Stegostoma tigrinum: one gene and its partner. The protein of the gene in region 2 interacts with the protein of the main gene of each other region in a biochemical or structural test. Links are inferred from orthologs where the notes say so. Each region holds a gene or a part of one and is shown on either strand. Other genes may lie near its edges. The genes, in order: homeobox protein SIX3 and nr4a3.

Evidence for each region.
Region 1: the proteins of nr4a3 (region 2) and homeobox protein SIX3 form a complex in vitro, tested with the Homo sapiens proteins (3 studies listed by BioGRID). The link is inferred for Stegostoma tigrinum from reciprocal best matches to the Homo sapiens genes NR4A3 and SIX3.

What each region holds. Positions count from the first base shown.
Region 1 is NC_081362.1:70,385,624-70,393,988, forward strand, and holds the start of homeobox protein SIX3, read right to left. Parts: upstream 3,476-8,365; 5' UTR 3,384-3,475; coding exon 2,701-3,383; intron 931-2,700; coding exon 738-930; 3' UTR 1-737. UniProt on the Homo sapiens protein: Transcriptional regulator which can act as both a transcriptional repressor and activator by binding a ATTA homeodomain core recognition sequence on these target genes.
Region 2 is NC_081355.1:90,009,286-90,018,041, forward strand, and holds the start of nr4a3 (nuclear receptor subfamily 4 group A member 3), read right to left. Parts: upstream 3,166-8,756; 5' UTR 2,535-3,165; intron 2,133-2,534; exon of another isoform or gene 2,124-2,132; intron 1-2,123. UniProt on the Homo sapiens protein: Transcriptional activator that binds to regulatory elements in promoter regions in a cell- and response element (target)-specific manner.

The DNA of each region.
Region 1 (8,365 bases), on a different chromosome or scaffold from region 2:
GATACTCAAAATAGCACTTTGCATAAAATTACATCGCACTAGATTTATCTAGTTGGATATCGCCCCACCCTCCCCACTTTCTTAAGAACCTAGTACTTTCGTCAGACGTTTGACACAATATGCAAGAACACTGAGTCTGTAATCGAGACAGAAAGAAAGAAAAAAAAGCAATATCATATACAGGCATTTCTACACATATATTACAAACTGGGAGAATGATCGCGTCATTAGATATACATAATTCATATAAAATTTTGAAATAAAAAATAAAAATCTGTTACAGTCATAACTATTCTTCCACATAACCAGTACCCACACAGGCAGTAACAGAAGTGTAGAAAAAGGTGCTTACGAAAAATGATTGTCTGCGGAACAGAAAAACGACTCTCAGCCTGGCTTCGGGGGTCTGACCAGCACTCGGACTATAGAGAGCAACAAAGGCGACGAAGATTCTCTCATTCCCTCTTCCTTGTAGATCCTTGTAAAAAATATTAACGTAGATTATTACTTTCCCAGATATAAAATACATCATGCAAGTCGGGTGGCTCCATGGAAAGCGCTGGATCAGACGTGCTTGTCTTAGATTTGATTTTTTTTTAAACTGTCACTTTTTTTCCTTCACGAATGTGTTTTTTTGTTTGTCTCTTTTTCTTAAAAATGTTCATTAAATGTCTTTTTTTTAAATCTCAGGTCCATAGTCCTTCGTGAATGCATTAAGAGTTTGTTTTGTTTTTGTATCATACATCACATTCACTGTCGCTAGAGGTTACCGAGAGAATGGACGTGGCCGTCTCGGCTCGCTCTGTCATGCTCGACACGCTGGTAGTAGGGCTGGCGGCTGTGGACGGAGATTCCGCCGCGCTGTGAGCAGGGCAGCCCGGCTCCGAAAGCGTACAAACCCCGCTCTGTCCCACTGCCTGATGTTGCAGCCTGTCCGAGACAAACAAAAGAAAGAGAGTTGAGGAGGGAGGGAGGTAGGGATTCACAAATCAAAACAGAATTATTAAATATTCCTCATGGATCGTTACTTTGGAAGACCAAGAAATCACTGAAACAAATAAAGTTATTAAAAAGCAATTTAAACCTTGTACTGTTGAAAAACTAAACATCGTTAAATATGCAGCAAAATTGCAATAATCGGGAGTTCCATGGGCACGAATAGCTTTTTTTAGAATAATAAAATAGTAATTGTTTAAAATTTGGTGGAGTTCACATATCAGATACGGCCGTTCAATCAGCATTGTTGTTGCAATTTGTTTGTCGGTTTCACTTAGCATAATGTTCAGAAACTGACCGAACCGAAATCTGTATTTAGTTGGTAACAATTGCACTCTGTATTGTCTTCAAGTTTAGCGCGCGTTTCATTGTATTGCTGCTGGGGAAAGTGCTCCTCGAAAGACAAGTTAGAATGCGGTCTTATCGGTGCATCTTATTGCAGCCCGCTTGCTAAAACGATGCTTCAAGTTATTCCCAATTCCTGTGCTTAAACTGTACTCTGGCGATATTTACCATGTTAACTTGAATTGCTTAGAGAGACTTTGAATGTTAGCAAGTCAAACAGTATGTGTTTACTTTGGATAAAAAGATATTGCTATCGCCTGCAAAGTAAATAATGTCCTTTATTGGTTTGAACCCCCGCCAAGTACGCCGTCTTTATCGTATTTGAAGAGTTAAGGTATCTCAAATATTGAGGTGGGTACCCAATAACTTTTCAGAAGCTTAAAGTAGTATTGACAAACTCATTGGCACATAAACTTCAGTCAAATATCCAAAGAACTTCAATTGTCGTGGACTGGTCTAGCATTGTATTCAGGATGGGACTTCTCAATTCATGGTGCGAAATATAGCGTTTGCATATTTTTCAATGACTGAGCGCAAGATGATCGTGTTATTCATCTCAATTCAAATGTGCTTACTTTGGTTTGAGAGAGTAAACAATTGTTGATTTGTGTGTCCTTTTACCTAAAGCAGGAATTTGCAGTCTCCCGGAAGTTACTCCACATTCTCTGATAGTTCAATTTCTCTTGGCTACAAATGAAAGCATTTCATAAAACCAGGCACATTTATGCCCATTGACATTACAGGAAACCTTGAGTCTGTTTCTGAACCAAACAAAAATACATTTAATGTATTTAAGTTAAATTTTGTCCAAATAATTATCTCGTTACCCATCACTATAGTGAGTAAAGGCATCACTTTCTCTCATTGATTCCAGTAAATTGTACTATTAGTTAGACTGTCTTTAATTTGAGCTTCTTTCACAAATTGGGGTTATTTTACAGAAGTTTTTTTATAGATGTTGTTTTCATGAAATTGCGATTGGTGATCGTTTAATGGAATTTATACTGTTGAATCTGTGGTCAGTTGTGATCCTATTTTATAACTGATACTTCGAATATTTCTTAAAAAAGATTCTTACACCGTCCAGTAACACCTTCCCAATATTGACCATTACACTGTAATTTTGTTCATTTGCTGAATTGCTTAAAACGTTTGCCCTGAGATTTTATTTTGTTTCAGTCAGCATTCTGGATGAGCATGTTACTTTATTCATAAAAAATGCTGTGCAACATTTAAACAACGTTTTATCTCGTGATTTTATTTACTGCGTTTTGATGAAGGTTTCCTGAGTTTCTTTAATATTTACATGCCAATTTGAGTAGTTGGCAGAAGGGTAACCTGGAAAAAAAACCCACCGACCTGTTTTTGGCGGCCGCCGCTCTGTCTCTCTGCCTGCGGTTTTTAAACCAATTTCCCACTTGTGTCGGGGTCAGACCGGTTGCTTGGGCCAGTTCCCTTTTTTTGGAAGGGTTTGGGTATGGGTCCTGCAAGTACCACTCTCGCAACAAGCTGCGCGTCCTCTCCTTGAAACAGTGAGTTTTTTGCTCGCCGTCCCAAATGGTCCTGGGCAGGGGGAACTTCTTGCGGACACGGTACTTGTCGACTGGTCCCAGAGGGCGACCCCTCAACTTCTCGGCCTCCTGGTAGTGCGCTTCGAGCCACATCGCCTGCAGCTTGCCGTGGGACTCCTTGGTGAACTTGTGGTTCTCCAGGATGTGGTACAAGTCTCGGAAGTTGCCCGTGTGGAAGGCCACGACCGCCCGGGCTCGGAGGATCGATTCGTGCTTGTTGATCGCCTCGCATGCCCCCGGCGCCACAGGTAAAGACCAGAGAAAGCGTCCCAATCTCTCGATGTCGCCCGTCTCCTCCAGCGTCTCACAGACGCTGGCCACTTGCTCCGGAGTGAAATTGATGGTCGGTAGCTGGAACATTGACAACTCTTCTTGGGGCCGGGAGCTGGCTAAGAGGAGAAAAGCGCGCTCGGCTGAGTTTGGTAGAAGGGGGAAGGCGCTATACAGCTCGAACTGGGACCTGAACACCATGGACTGACTTGGTGATTTTTAATATTAAAAAAAAACACAAAAACGTGTCAGATGCAACGAAATCGCCTAGTGTCACACTTCCTCATATTATATCCCCAAAATACTGTGTGGAGCACTGGTTTTTTTTTCGCTTTTTCTATTGGTCTTGGCGGTGTCGTTGTAGCGTTGCCATGGCGCCGCTGTCAATCACTGTCAAACGTGCCAATCAACCAGCAGAACGTAGAGGCTTTCACCACTTTTGCACTGCGTGGGGGTTATCTGAAATGAATCTCAGCGTCGCCCACCTACCTCTTGAAAAGTTCAAATGTGAAAGCCTCCGCGCTCTGATTTGCTAAGTGGGACGAGTAATTAGAGGATGGGAAATATTACCGCGATCTTAACGAACCTTGTTAAGGTTGGAAGACGGGGCGAAAGTAAATGGGACAGCCTAAAAGACACGGTGGAATCGAGGGCTCCTCACTGAGACAGTTTAGACATGATTTGCACGTAGTTTCACTTCATTCTGCCGGTATGAGCATTAATAGGGCTGGGGAATAAAGGAAAAATGAGATCATTAGACCCATATACATGTCATGACTGTGTTTGTATAAGGAGATTTTTTAATCTGCCTTCAGCACTGCGCTTTCTCCGTGACCATAACTCTTGTTAATTAATAGCATAATTGCCAATCCGAAGCCCATTTGAAGTGTAGCGTGCAGTAATAACACTGTACATCGTCATGGCACTGGCTGTGCATCATTGCAGCTTGAGTTAAAGACTTCGCACAGATAGGGCTATTTGGGGATCCATGGACCGGACGTGGATAGACTGCAGGTAGAAGTTAATTTATATCCCTTCTTCCAGAAAAAAAGACTATTTCAGTTTGAATCATTGGCTTTCAGTGGCTGGAATAACGCGTTGCGTTTTAATTTTTTTTATTCCATCGGTCCTGGTGCTGGGAGCTCTGCTGGCCGTTGCTAACGTGCAACTGTATTCTACCATTAGGTATGTTCGCCTTTAAGAAGGTTTAATCAACATCTTGAGCCGGTGGCTTTTTTGTTTGGCTTCTGTAACTATGGAAGTGTGATTTACAAAGATTTGTACGGGTCATGGATGTCTTTCCAGCCTTACTGTGTATATTTAGACACGACTTTGCTTGGTGTTAAAAAGTGTATATTTTGAATGGGTTCACACACAGTAGCGAACAATACAGACATTGTACCGGATTGTACAACGCGTATTGAAACGCAGCATCCAGACTTCAACTAATCTGCCCTCAATAAAGCTGAAATAATTATCCTAAGCCGCCTTTCTACGGGGTAAAAAAAATCATTGAAGAATTCAAAACTTTTTTCCTTCTCTGGTCTCTTCCACATTCCAATGGATTTCGAAAAAAAATCGCGAGGCGAACGGTTATGTACCCAATCTGCTTTCCAGGTCCCGGTGAAAAAAGATATTGCAATTAAAAAGGGAAACAGAGAGCGAATTTGCTGTGCACAAAGATAATAACGCTAATGGGTGGTATGGGTTCTTTAATGGACTGCAAACTGTTTGCGGTCCTGTCATAGCGCACTCCGCATGAAGTAATTCCAAGTGGCACATGAATAGGTCCAGTTGGGAAGGTTGTTCAACTGGAAACGGCGATGCTCTATTACACATTCGCTGTAGATTTCTATTAAAAAGTATCATCTACGCCCATTTAAATGCCCTAAATTGTTTCATTCAGAGAAAACATAGAAAGAGGCAAGCTTCTAGCAGCATAATCTCTACTTTTATAATCACTTTAATTTTCGTTCATTGCTTCGCAAAACAAAAGAGAGAAAGGAAAGTTTAGGAAAATGCTTCTAAAATGTTGGATTAATATCCCTATAGGTTAACCCTGTGAAGTCCGCGGCAATCTACATTTATGTATTTGTTTCTTTTTTTCAGGTATACGGGAAGCTTCAGAAATTTCACTCACCACAGATGAGCACCTTTAAAAAGAGGACTCCTAGTAAATTCTATCCTACAGTCTTACGGGCAGTCATCAATGTATCTGAACAGAAATCAGTTTGAATGGTAGGTGTTGCCATTTATTTTCTGCCCCGCGCAAAACAAAGGAAAAAGATGAAAATGTACAATATGATTCCTTCTCTCTCTGTAACATAGATGTCTATATAGTATATACAAATGCAGGTGCTAGGAATAAAAGCAATGATGTGCGCTGTTTTCAGAGCCTATTCGAGAGACATTCACATAGTAAAGCTACAAGCACATAATTATTCGCTCAATCTTTGTGTGAAGAGTACAGGGTGTAAATGGCTTTTTAATGACGGGCAGCTGGCCGCTGCCGTTTGGAGCAGTGACCGTCTATGAAACAGCTTCATTCAAAGCTCTGAGCCCTGTCCGGCTCGTGCAACTGTATCCTCCCCGAAAAGAAAGCAATAGCGAAACAAAAATCACAATTATTAAGAAATGCTGCAATTATACAAAGTGACAGATCAGCATCCGGAAAGGTCCAGGTCTCTTTCCCCGGAGAAGCCTTTCAGGCTCCTGTAAGTTTCTGTTTTATTGGAATGATTTCCGCTTTTGTTGAGGCCGTTGTGTCTCACTGCTTTGCATAACGTATGATTAAAGTTGGATTGTGAAAAATCTCAAACCATTTTCAGATTTAACTGATTTACATGGAACGTTATAATACAGCGTTGTTTGATCAACCGTGCAAGTTTACACATGAAAAAGATACCTAAGTGTGGGCCAGTTCATATAATGTTGGCTCTGTATACATAAAGTAAGCCGTTTATGAGTTTAATCAGTTGGGTCGGTTAATTTGACTTAGAATATGTTAACTATTAATAAATCTGCTGCAAAGATTGAACTTATTCTATGTTGTTCTCTTCTCTAATCCAATATATAACGTAATGCTTTCGGAGACGTTTTAGTTACCCCTTGCAAGGTGGGGAATTGGCTTATTCATTGGTGATTATTTTTGGTATTGTCATGTCGCCATTATCGGTATTGATGTAGCAAATAGATTCGACCCTTTACTTTCGCCTTTGTTCAGTTTTGTTTGGCGTTACTTGTTAAATTTCCATTTTGTTTTACATCCTCTACTACTGTTTCCTCTACTCTTTCCTCCTGCGTTGACCTTGTCTCTTTAAGGTGGCCGGTTAAATGTGAGCTCCGCTGGGCCTTTTTGCTTGACGCTATATTCATTGCCAAGACGGGGCACGAACAGCTCAGATTTATCGACTGCCAATACAGTCTGTCCTCCATCCTCAATGCTGAAGTGAATTGCGTACATGATTTTATTTAGTTTTGCTTGCATTGTTGATTTTATTGTACCTGATCCATTCGTATTACAGTAGCTGCGTCATGATTTAACTGAGTTAACTGTATACATGATATTCGGTTAGAAGCAATAGTTTGCATGGATTTATATGGGCTTCATTCTTTTGGGCCATGGGATTGTAAATTTCACAGATAAATCAGATCGCCTTTGCACCTGAGATTGATTAAAAACAAGCAGTCAGATAAGAACCCGCTCAAATGCAACCAAATTATTTTAATTTAAATGGAGACCGAAATGGAGCATATAATTTCTCCAAAAACGAGCATCAATAAACTCGAATGATATTGAAAATTTGTAGCCCTCATATTAGAGATAGAATCATAGATCTTATTTATTATCTGGCGTTGTTAACCGTTTCTTTATATATTGTTCAAAGAGGGTACTGGTTTACTTCACACTGACTTTTACGTAATCAGGAAGTAGTCGCGTAGTTAAGTGCATGACAGCTCTCTCTTCCATTCCGAGTTTCTTTCTCTGCATAAACGTTCAAATTAAGGATGTGAATAGCACAGTATTCGGAAATTTGGGGTCTACAGCAAGTCGTTCCAATGAAGTGCAAACCAATTCCACCTCCCCACCTGCGCCATTAATGTTAATCCACTAAGATTCAACAAAAAACAGTTAAACATCAGAGGCGTTTACCGTCCCTTATGAATTGAGGACGATAAGTTCCAATTTGAAATTGCGCTGGTCTATCTGGACCAAGGGGTAATGACGTGAAGTTTTAACCGCCGGAACTATGCAAACTTGACCAGTCTTCCCCACCCCCCAACCCCCCGTCAATATATCACAGTGAAGGATCTGTGTGTGAACATTACAAATCCGCTGGCTTCTCGAAGTTTGCATTAAGAGTTGGTCATAGTTTAAATATAATCACGCGGATACGCCAAGCGAACAGGTTGGAAAGAATGAATTGTTCGCTCTGCAAAACGTAAAAAAAACTGTGAGGGTATTTGCAATTTGAATCTTAATATGTTGACAGTGGTGTAAGAACGCTTAAGGATGTAAACAAGGAAATATTAGGGAGTTAGAAGGAACCATTTGTTCTCGCAGTTTCAACAACTGTGTCAGCTGAAACAACTGTTTCAATCGACCGGTCGCTGCCTCAGTTGAGCGCCGGATGCACAGTTGATAGTGAGAAGGGCGGCAGGCATCAGATTGTGTGTTGAAAGACTTCCTAGTCTGTTTGTAAGGACACTTGGAATTTCTTGCCAGTTATTTTCCATGTGGCCTTTATTAAGTGCACGCCCTGCAAGGGACAGAGTGTTGCAAGAGGACTGTCCAATCAGGAGATTTGCACGCCTTGTTAGCGATATTTAATGAGGTCGCTCCATAGGCAAGAAATAAAGGCGCTTTACCGTAGATTTACCTTATGTCAATCCGTTACTTCTAATGAATTGAACAAAGATGTACGTCCTAGCCCTGCAAACCCAGCAGTTTTTGTTTGTGGGGGCGGGGGAGGGGGTCTGGAGCTGGCGGTGGTGCGAGGGTGGCTGAAGTTGCTGGGAGGAGGAGGAGGAGGTGAAAGGTGAACGCTGGGTTTCCTGCTACCGGGTTATGCGTATGTGTCAAAACGAATTAGTTACAGGAATAAAAGCACTGAATCCAATATAATATCATATGGTGCTATCATGGCTCATTGGTCAGTCGGCTTGACATTTCAATCTGCTTT
Region 2 (8,756 bases):
GAGTCTTGACAATTCACACTTGTATTAGGTTCAATGACACTTGCCCCACATGATGTCAAGATGGACACCGGGACTTGCCCACATGCTTTGAGATCACCTGGCGCTCTACTAATGCACGCTCAAGGCGGATCAATTCATTTGCGCTATAATTTGCCCAATTCAAGGAGTCCAGCAGTTGGGCTGCAGCGCCCCCTCTGAAATGCATTTAATCCGTCTGCCACTCGGGGGATAAAAACTTTATATAAAGTTACTTTAACTCCCCAGAAATGGTATTAACCTCAAAACGGTGTGAAGGTTTTGGCATAGTGAAAACTCCATTGAACTGTTGCTTGTAGATCAGATCTTTCCTAAAAATGCTCAAACGGTGCTACCTCACAATCAACATTAAATTGTTTTAGATTTGGAATTAAGTCATGATCCTCTGCCCCCTTTATTGTGACATTTATAAGACGTGATATGATCTACTAGTCATAACCCAGTTGGAGATCGTGGCTAAAACAGCTGCCTTTAATCTCGGGTACCCCACTCCCCGCAAACATGAAAGTTTATATTTACACTTGGAAAATGCAGTTCTACAATGTCACAGTTAACCGGACGTTCATAATCCGAGACACACTTCGGAGCTTTATTCTGGCGTTGAGTCAGGTAGGAAACAGAGAGAAGGCGTTTTCGGACAACTCTGTCCCTGCCATCGGAAAGAAATGGTCACAGCCACTTCACTCCCGGGGGTTCCACTGAACAGAAACAGGGAGGGGCTGGGGAAGAAACAGCCTAAACCTGCAGAAGTGCCGAGTTCTTGTTTACACTGTGTCGTGGTCATCTTTACACTTTTACATCTTGCACCAAGAGGGAAAGACCTGTTTTCCGAATATCTTTCCGTTTCACTTTTAGAAGTGGTCTAAGTATTAAGATCTCTTGTGTGGACTCACGCTTTTAATTAAAACTAATGTTTTGCAAGGCTACATTTGACAACCAAGTTGCTTAGCTTCCGCAGTTAACTCGTTTGCACATTATTCCCGCTGAGGGGTGAATGCTCAAAATCAGCTGGTTACCTAGAGAACATGCGATGTCTCTTTAAACATCCGCCTTATTACCGGCCGCCCTATCTTCCACACACAGTCAGACAGAACATCAACTGTGGGGAGTTTTAATTTAGTGTGAATTTATTGAAGAAAACCACTCTCCTCTCAACCACTTTCGGCGACAACTCAAGTCGGAATTCATCGCCCATGACAGTACGGGGTAGATAAAGAAAATTACGAAAAAGAGATACGCTTTAATGATATTAAAGCGACACAATGCACTGAGCACTGGATGTTTCGACAGCAACACTTGTTGGCACCAGCTATACAAGTCAGGATCGAACCTAGTTAGGGCAGTACAGACAATTATTGGAGACGCCATATATCAGACACCTTACCACTAAAAAGGAAATATTTTTGTAATTTCACAGGAACATGTCAAAATCGCCGCAATGGTTAAGTGAAAGATGGAATGAAAGATTATAGTTTACTATAGAGAGGTAAGAATTTGCTACGGCGAGGTTTTGTTCACAGAAATCTCAGCAGATATCACCCTTCGAAATCGACTTGTGACCGTGGTCAGAACTTTCCCAAATTTACAAACTAGCCGGTGTCAAGTCACCCCTCGCTCGGCGCCGCCTCAGAACAGTGAGGTTTATACATTCCACTGGCAATTTTGGGCTTGAACTGTTACTCTCCCGCGCGGAGCACATTCCCGTTCCACGACTAAAGTGCGAACGCACTTTTAAGCAATTCTGTTGAAAATTCCATTGTAAATACCTAGGTACACAGTTACACACATGTACGTATGAGAACGTGTCGCACTCTCTACTACTGATGATTACTGAACAAAAAGTAAAACAGATTCGCTTCTGAAAGTGAAACTATTAATAAAAGAATTGCAAAAATGCATTTTAAGCCAAGACTAGGTCCAGCATCTTAAATGATCACACGTGTTAGGTCATCAGAGTGCGCAATTAGACGTGGTTATTTCTTAACTGAAACTCCGAATATCCCTAGCTTGGATCGCGAACAGACGTGCAGACGGATAATCAACACTAATACCATTCCAACGCGCTGCATTTCAACTTAAAAACATACTCAGTAGCATACCCCCTTCAAAATGCGACTGCAGTGAAGTCAAATGGACACTAAATAACTATACACTTTCACTCGAACGTAGCTAATTATACATCCAGACAAGTGCAAGACAAATCGCATCTATTCACCACATCATTGCAAGCACAGCGCCTGCAGTATTACATTACCATGACAACTACCAGAAATACCTTAATACCCGCTGATCTCCAATTGTCACACAACTCAAAGCCGCTGATTAACCCATAAATTCTCAAGACACAAGGAACAGGCATCAAAGCACAAGTTCTGAAGCATGTTCCAACCAGCGTTCACACAAAACATCACTATAGCTCATTGAATTGTAGTCACTGGTTCGAGAGCATACCCATTGTAACTTTCATGATGTCCAGTGAGTAACTGATTGATACGTACTTGATTGCTGTGACGGTTCCGTTTTTACATATAATCAAATAGCCGTCCAAGCCGCGTAGAGGCGTCCAGTCCAAATCATGGATATTGTACAGAGAAACTTGTCTTTAAAATATCACTCCCGGTAAATGATTTAGTTGTAGTGCAGATTCGGATCCTTCCTCTTAATGCGAGTTCATCAATGGAGGAAAAGTGCGAGAAAGTCTTCTTTAGCCCTCCTTCTATTTGTAGGTCTCTCCTCCGATTGCAATGTGCCTTTGTTTATGTGCAGACAGATAACAGATTCCTCACTTTGTGAACGTCATTTATGTTTAAGGGAAGGTGGGTGGGGAGATTGGCAAGAGCTACTCTCCTATTGGACGATCGCCGGTATCTCCATAGAGCGGCTGGAATGCAGGCGACGTCAATTGTGACGCTGCCGGGCCGTCACGTCACGCGGCGGCACGGCACGTCAGCTGGCTTTTATTGTGTCTGCTCTTCTCCCAGTCTCGGGCTGTGCTCTTGGTCGCGCGCCCCGTGCTCGTGCGTGTACAGCCGCGGCGTGGTCGCTCACAAGTGGTAGACAGCGTAAAGAGAACAGTGCGCTTCGCTCTCCGCTCTCTGTTTTATTGTCATTTATGAACCCCGCGTCGGCGCGTCATTGCATCTGGACGCCCAATCGTCTCGCGCCATTGGCGATGGAACACCACGCCCCTTCCCCTCTGCGATCGTCACGACCACACCCCTCGGTCCCTCTCCCCGTGATTGTGGACCAATAGGAACGCGGGAAGTTAGGCGCGGCCGGGGAGGGGGCGGTCTGGAACTTGTGCGCGTGAGAGCGCCCCGCTGACGCACGTCATTGACGCAAGCAGGAGCTAAATTTAGCAACTCTGGGCCAATCCATCGATTGAGATAACACAGATCTCATTCATTTCTGGGGCGTACCGTTTATTTTAGGAACTATTTTGTGATCCAGTGAAACCAAATATAGTTGTTGATAGGTATTTTTAGTCGTAGCAATCTCGTTTTGTTAATGTTCAGAAATACTTTTTTTAACGTAACCTAATTACAGATTGCAGCGACTAGTGGAATAATGATTATGTTAATTTCATTATGATAACCGAATTCTCGTACAATACTTGGAAATGTGAGTGTTTGGATTTAAACGGTAGTACAGTTTGATGTTTATTTATCGCGTCCCTTTTTGTTATTATGCTTCGTTCAGTTTTTATCATTTTATTACAGAAGTATATCTACTATTGAAACATAATTAGCTTGGTCTCAATGCTGGGAAACCTATGCACCTATTTTTGAAAGCAATTGGAAAACGGAAGTTGGAATAAATCTTACATTGGGGAATTTATTGAATGTTAAAGTTTTAGATTCCACCCATTTAATTATTTGAACAATAGACACATTCTTGTAACTTTGCCAAAACGCCTTTGCTTTCACAAATTTATTACGCACTAACGCCTTACGTATTTTTTTCAAATGCTGTGGAGATTTACTACGTTCTAGATGTTGCTTCATGGGATGTTCCGCTTTTTGTTTTGAAGTGAAATTTTTTGTTTGGAAAAAAAAGTGTTTGTGTTTTAATTCCATTATTACATTAAGCGGTTGACCAATTCGTGGGGAGTGTTATTCAGGAAGCGTCGCGGTTTGGCAGCTTTACCGCAGCGCCTGAGGCTATTGGCAGGTGAATGAGTGATCCGGAGGGAGGGAGGTGGTGAACCCTTGTTCCACTTTATAAATAGGCAGACGGAAGGGAACGTTCCTATTACGCACACGCGCGGATTACGTAAAGGAGCGTGTTCAAAATCAGGAGACGTCTGATGACGCAGGCACGCAGTCTGCACGAGGTTAGTTCCGGCCTTCGTTCCAAAAACAGAGTTTAGACCTTTATTCTGGGAATTACAATTTTACATAAATGTTTACATTATACAAACTTTACTCCTGATTTTAAAAAAATCCACCCCACATTAAAAGAATGGTATTTTCCCCACTGAACGGCCTAAAGGAGAAATAATCTCTTTACAAAATGTGCTCTACATCAGGCTAAAAACTGCACACGTGTGTGTATAAAACTGCTGTAGATTTTTGTGGTGAGTATAACGCTCGAGTGTTTTATTCTGATCAGCTTGTTGTAGTCTTTATTATAAAGATTATTTTAAAAACGCTTTTCTTTCCCTTTCCCTACAGATGAACCCCAGTAAGAAGCATTATATTTCTGAACCCACTATTTATGCGACTTGCTCTAGTGATCTGTTTGCAGCACTTATGAATAATAAATCCGCAAATAAACTGTTGAAAAAGTACAAATGCTTGCAATTTTTTCATGTGTAAAAGTTGCACAACTAATGCATTTCAATATAATTGTATGCCTATTCCACTTTTATACCTTGGGAACGTTTTGGAAAGTAAAATGAATGTCACTAGATGTGCTCCTAGCATCAGAACTAAGAAAACACCAAACATGTTTCTTAATAAACTAGGAGTATAGTTTCCATAGGATGTCTTGATGGATAAAGCCAACAAAACAGTTTGTCACTGCTTTCTATTGCCAACACAGTTTGGCACTTCATTTAGTACAGATTGCCGCAAGGCAAGATTTCAACAGTGTGGTGAAGAGATGAGCAGTATTGAGCTTTAAATGATAAATTCTGCTTTTATATTCCGAACTCTCTTTGGAGGCGTGAGAGCAGCAGCAAGCTGCTTGTCTAAGTGGTTCAAATGACATCAATCATGATCATACCTAAATGTAAGTATATTGCAGTAATTTTCTGAGTTGGATAATTTGTTTTTATTTTCTATTTAAGTTTTATTTGCTTTCTTTTCCTGCTGATTTTTGGTATGGATGACAACCAACAACATGTTAGTAGAAAAATATAAGGTCACGTGCAGTCATATGTGAGCAGTTACATAACACTCTTACAGAATAAGAAAGTTCACGTCATGCTGAAAAGTTAATGATTGTAACACTGTTAGGTTAGTGTAAATGATTTAAGATTTGTTGTAAGACCTGTGGATGTCTTCAAGTGCTTTGCAGCTAAAGAACTGCCCGGTGAAGTGTAGTCACTTGGAGTGTAGAAAGATTATCTGAAAATTGTACCAGTTTTGATGTGCACCAAATGATTAAAAATCACTATTCCAAGATAGGATTGAAAACAGAAAATGCACAATTTCTGCAAGAATAATATTCACCTCATAAATTGAGGTGAGATATTTTTTCTTTCTTTTCAAACAAGGTGTAATCTGCGAAGGCTTCTGTTTTGATTTCAAATTTTAACCTCTCAGCTGAGTGCCCTACTTTGAACTTGTCCCACAAGATCTTTCCTAACAAAATCACATTCAGATTTAATTATGGGTGGCATAGTGGTTCAGTGGTTAGCACTGCTGCCTCACAGCACCAGGGACCTGGGTTTGATCCCACCTTTGGGCAGCTGTCTGTGTGGAGTTTGTACATTCACATCATCTGTGCGTTTCCTCCGGGTGCTCCAGTTTCCTCCCACAGTCCAAAGATGTGCAGGCTAGGTGGATTGACCATGCTAAATTGCCCATGACGTTCAGGGATGTGTAGATTCCGTGGGTTATAGGGGGATGGGTCTGGGTAGGGTGCTCTGAGGGTCAGTATGGACTCATTGGGCCAAAGGGCCTGTTTCCGCACTAGAGATTCTACGATCTATGATAATTAATTAGTTATTGATCTATTTTGTGGAAGTAGAGCCAGCAGCAGCGACGTTGACTCCTGGTACTCCCCACATCTTGCATACAGGACTATGTCCGTATTTCAGCATTACCAAGTTGTCTGTAGTTATGAGATAATGGGAACTGCAGATGCTGGAGAATCCAAGATAATAAAGTGTGAAGCTGGATGAACACAGCAGGCCAAGCAACATCTCAGGAGCACAAAAGCTGACGTTTCGGGCCTAGACCCTTCTTCAGAGAGGGGGATGGGGTGAAGATTCTGGAATAAATAGGGAGAGAGGGGGAGGCGGACCGAAGATGCAGAGAAAAGAAGATAGGTGGAGAGGAGAGTATAGGTAGGGAGGGGATAGGTCAGTCCAGGAAAGACGGACAGGTCAAGGAGGTGGCATGAGATTAGTAGGTAGGAAATTGAGGTGCGGCTTGGGGTGGGAGGAAGGGATGGGTGAGAGGAAGAACAGGTTAGGGAGGCAGAGACAGGCTGGGCTGGTTTTGGGATGCAGTGGGTGGAGGAGAAGAGCTGGGTTGGTTGTGTAGTGCGGTGGGAGGGGACGAACTGGGCTGGTTTTGGGATGCGTTGGGGGAAGGGGAGATTTTGAAGCTGGTGAAGTCCACATTGATACCATTGGGCTGCAGGGTTCCCAAGCAGAATATGAGTTGCTGTTCCTGCAACCTTCGGGTGGCATCATTGTGGCACTGCAGGAGGCCCATGATGGACTTGTCATCTAAAAAATGGGAGGGGGAGTTGAAATGGTTCGCGACTGGGAGGTGCAGTTGTTTATTGCGAACCGAGCGGAGGTGTTCTGCAGAGCGGTCCCCAAGCCTCCGCTTGGTTTCCACAATGTAGAGGAAGCCACACCGGGTACAATGGATATAGTATACCACATTGGCAGATGTGCAGGTGAACCTCTGCTTAATATGGAAAGTTATCTTGGGGCCTGGGGTGGGGTGAGGGAGGAGGTGTGGGGGCAAGTGTAGCATTTCCTGCGGTTGCAGGGGAAGGTGCTGGGTGTGGTGGGGTTGGAGGGCAGTGTGGAGCGAACAAGGGAGTCACAGAGAGAGTGGTCTCTCTGGAAAGCAGACAAGGGTGGGGATGGAGAAATGGCTTGAGTGGTGGGGTCGGATTGTAGATGGCGGAAGTGTCGGAGGATGATGCGTTGTATCCGGAGGTTGGTGGGGTGGTGTGTGAGAATGAGGGGGATCATCTTTGGGCGGTTGTGGCGGGGGCGGGGTGTGAGGGTTGTGTTGCGGGAGACGCGGTCAAGGGCGTTCTCGACCACTGTGGGGGGAAAGCTGCGGTCCTTGAAGAACTTGGACATCTGGGATGTCCGGGAGTGGAATGCCTCACCGTGGGAGCGGATGCGGCGGAGGCGGAGGAATAGGGGATGGAATTTTTGCAGGAGGGTGGGTGGGAGGAGGTGTATTCTAGGTAGCTGTGGGAGTCGGTGGACTTGAAATGGGCATCGGTTACAAGCTGGTTGCCTGAGATGGAGACTGAGAGGTCCAGGAAGGTGAGGGATGTGCTGGAGATGGCCCAGGTGAACTGAAGGTTGGGGTGGAAGATGTTGGTGAAGTGGATGAACTGTTTGAGCTCTTCTGGGGAGCAAGAGGCGGCACCAATACAGTCATCAATGTAACGGAGGAAGAGGTGGGGTTTGGGGCCTGTGTAGGCGAGGAAGAGGAACTGTTCCACGTAACCTACAAAGAGGCAGGCATATATGGGGCCCATGCGGGTGCCCATGGCCACCCCCTTTGTAGGAAGTGGGAGGAATCAAAAGAGAAGTTGTTGAGGGTGAGGACGAGTTCAGCTAGGCGGATGAGAGTGTCGGTGGAGGGGGACTGGTCGGGCCTGCGGGACAGGAAGAATCAGAGGGCCTTGAGGCCATCTGCATGTGGAATACGGGTGTATAGGGACTGGACGTCCATGATGAAAATGAGGTGTTGGGGGCCAGGGAATTGGAGGTTCTGGAAGAGGTGGAGGGCGTGGGTGGTGTCACGGACGTACGTAGGGAGTTCCTGGACCAAAGGGGAGAAAATGGTGTCCAGATAGGTGGAGATGAGTTCGGTGGGGCAGGAACAGGCTGAGACAATGGGTCGACTGGGGCAGGCAGGTTTGTGGATTTTGGGAAGGAGATAGAAACAGGCCGTGCAGGGTTGGGGAATAATGAGGTTGGAGGCTGTGGGTGGGAGATCCCCTGAGGTCATGCCGTCATGAATGGTGTTGGAGATGATGGTTTGGTGCTCGGGGGTGGGGTCCTGATCAAGGGGACGGTAGGAGGAGGTGTCGGAGAGTTGGCGTTTGGCCTCGGCGATTTAGAGGTCAGTGCGCCATACTACCACTGCGCCTCCCTTGTCTGCGGGTTTGATGGTGAGGTTGGGGTTGGAGCGGAGGTAGTTATTGCAGCTTTGAGGGCATTGTTGTAATGTTCTTCTATAAGAATTTGTTCGTTATCTTAACTAAGCTTTAATCACCAACAGAAAAGTGTTCTTCCAGAACTCACTTCTTATGCACAACATGAGTTAATCCCATTGATGTGTGAGTCA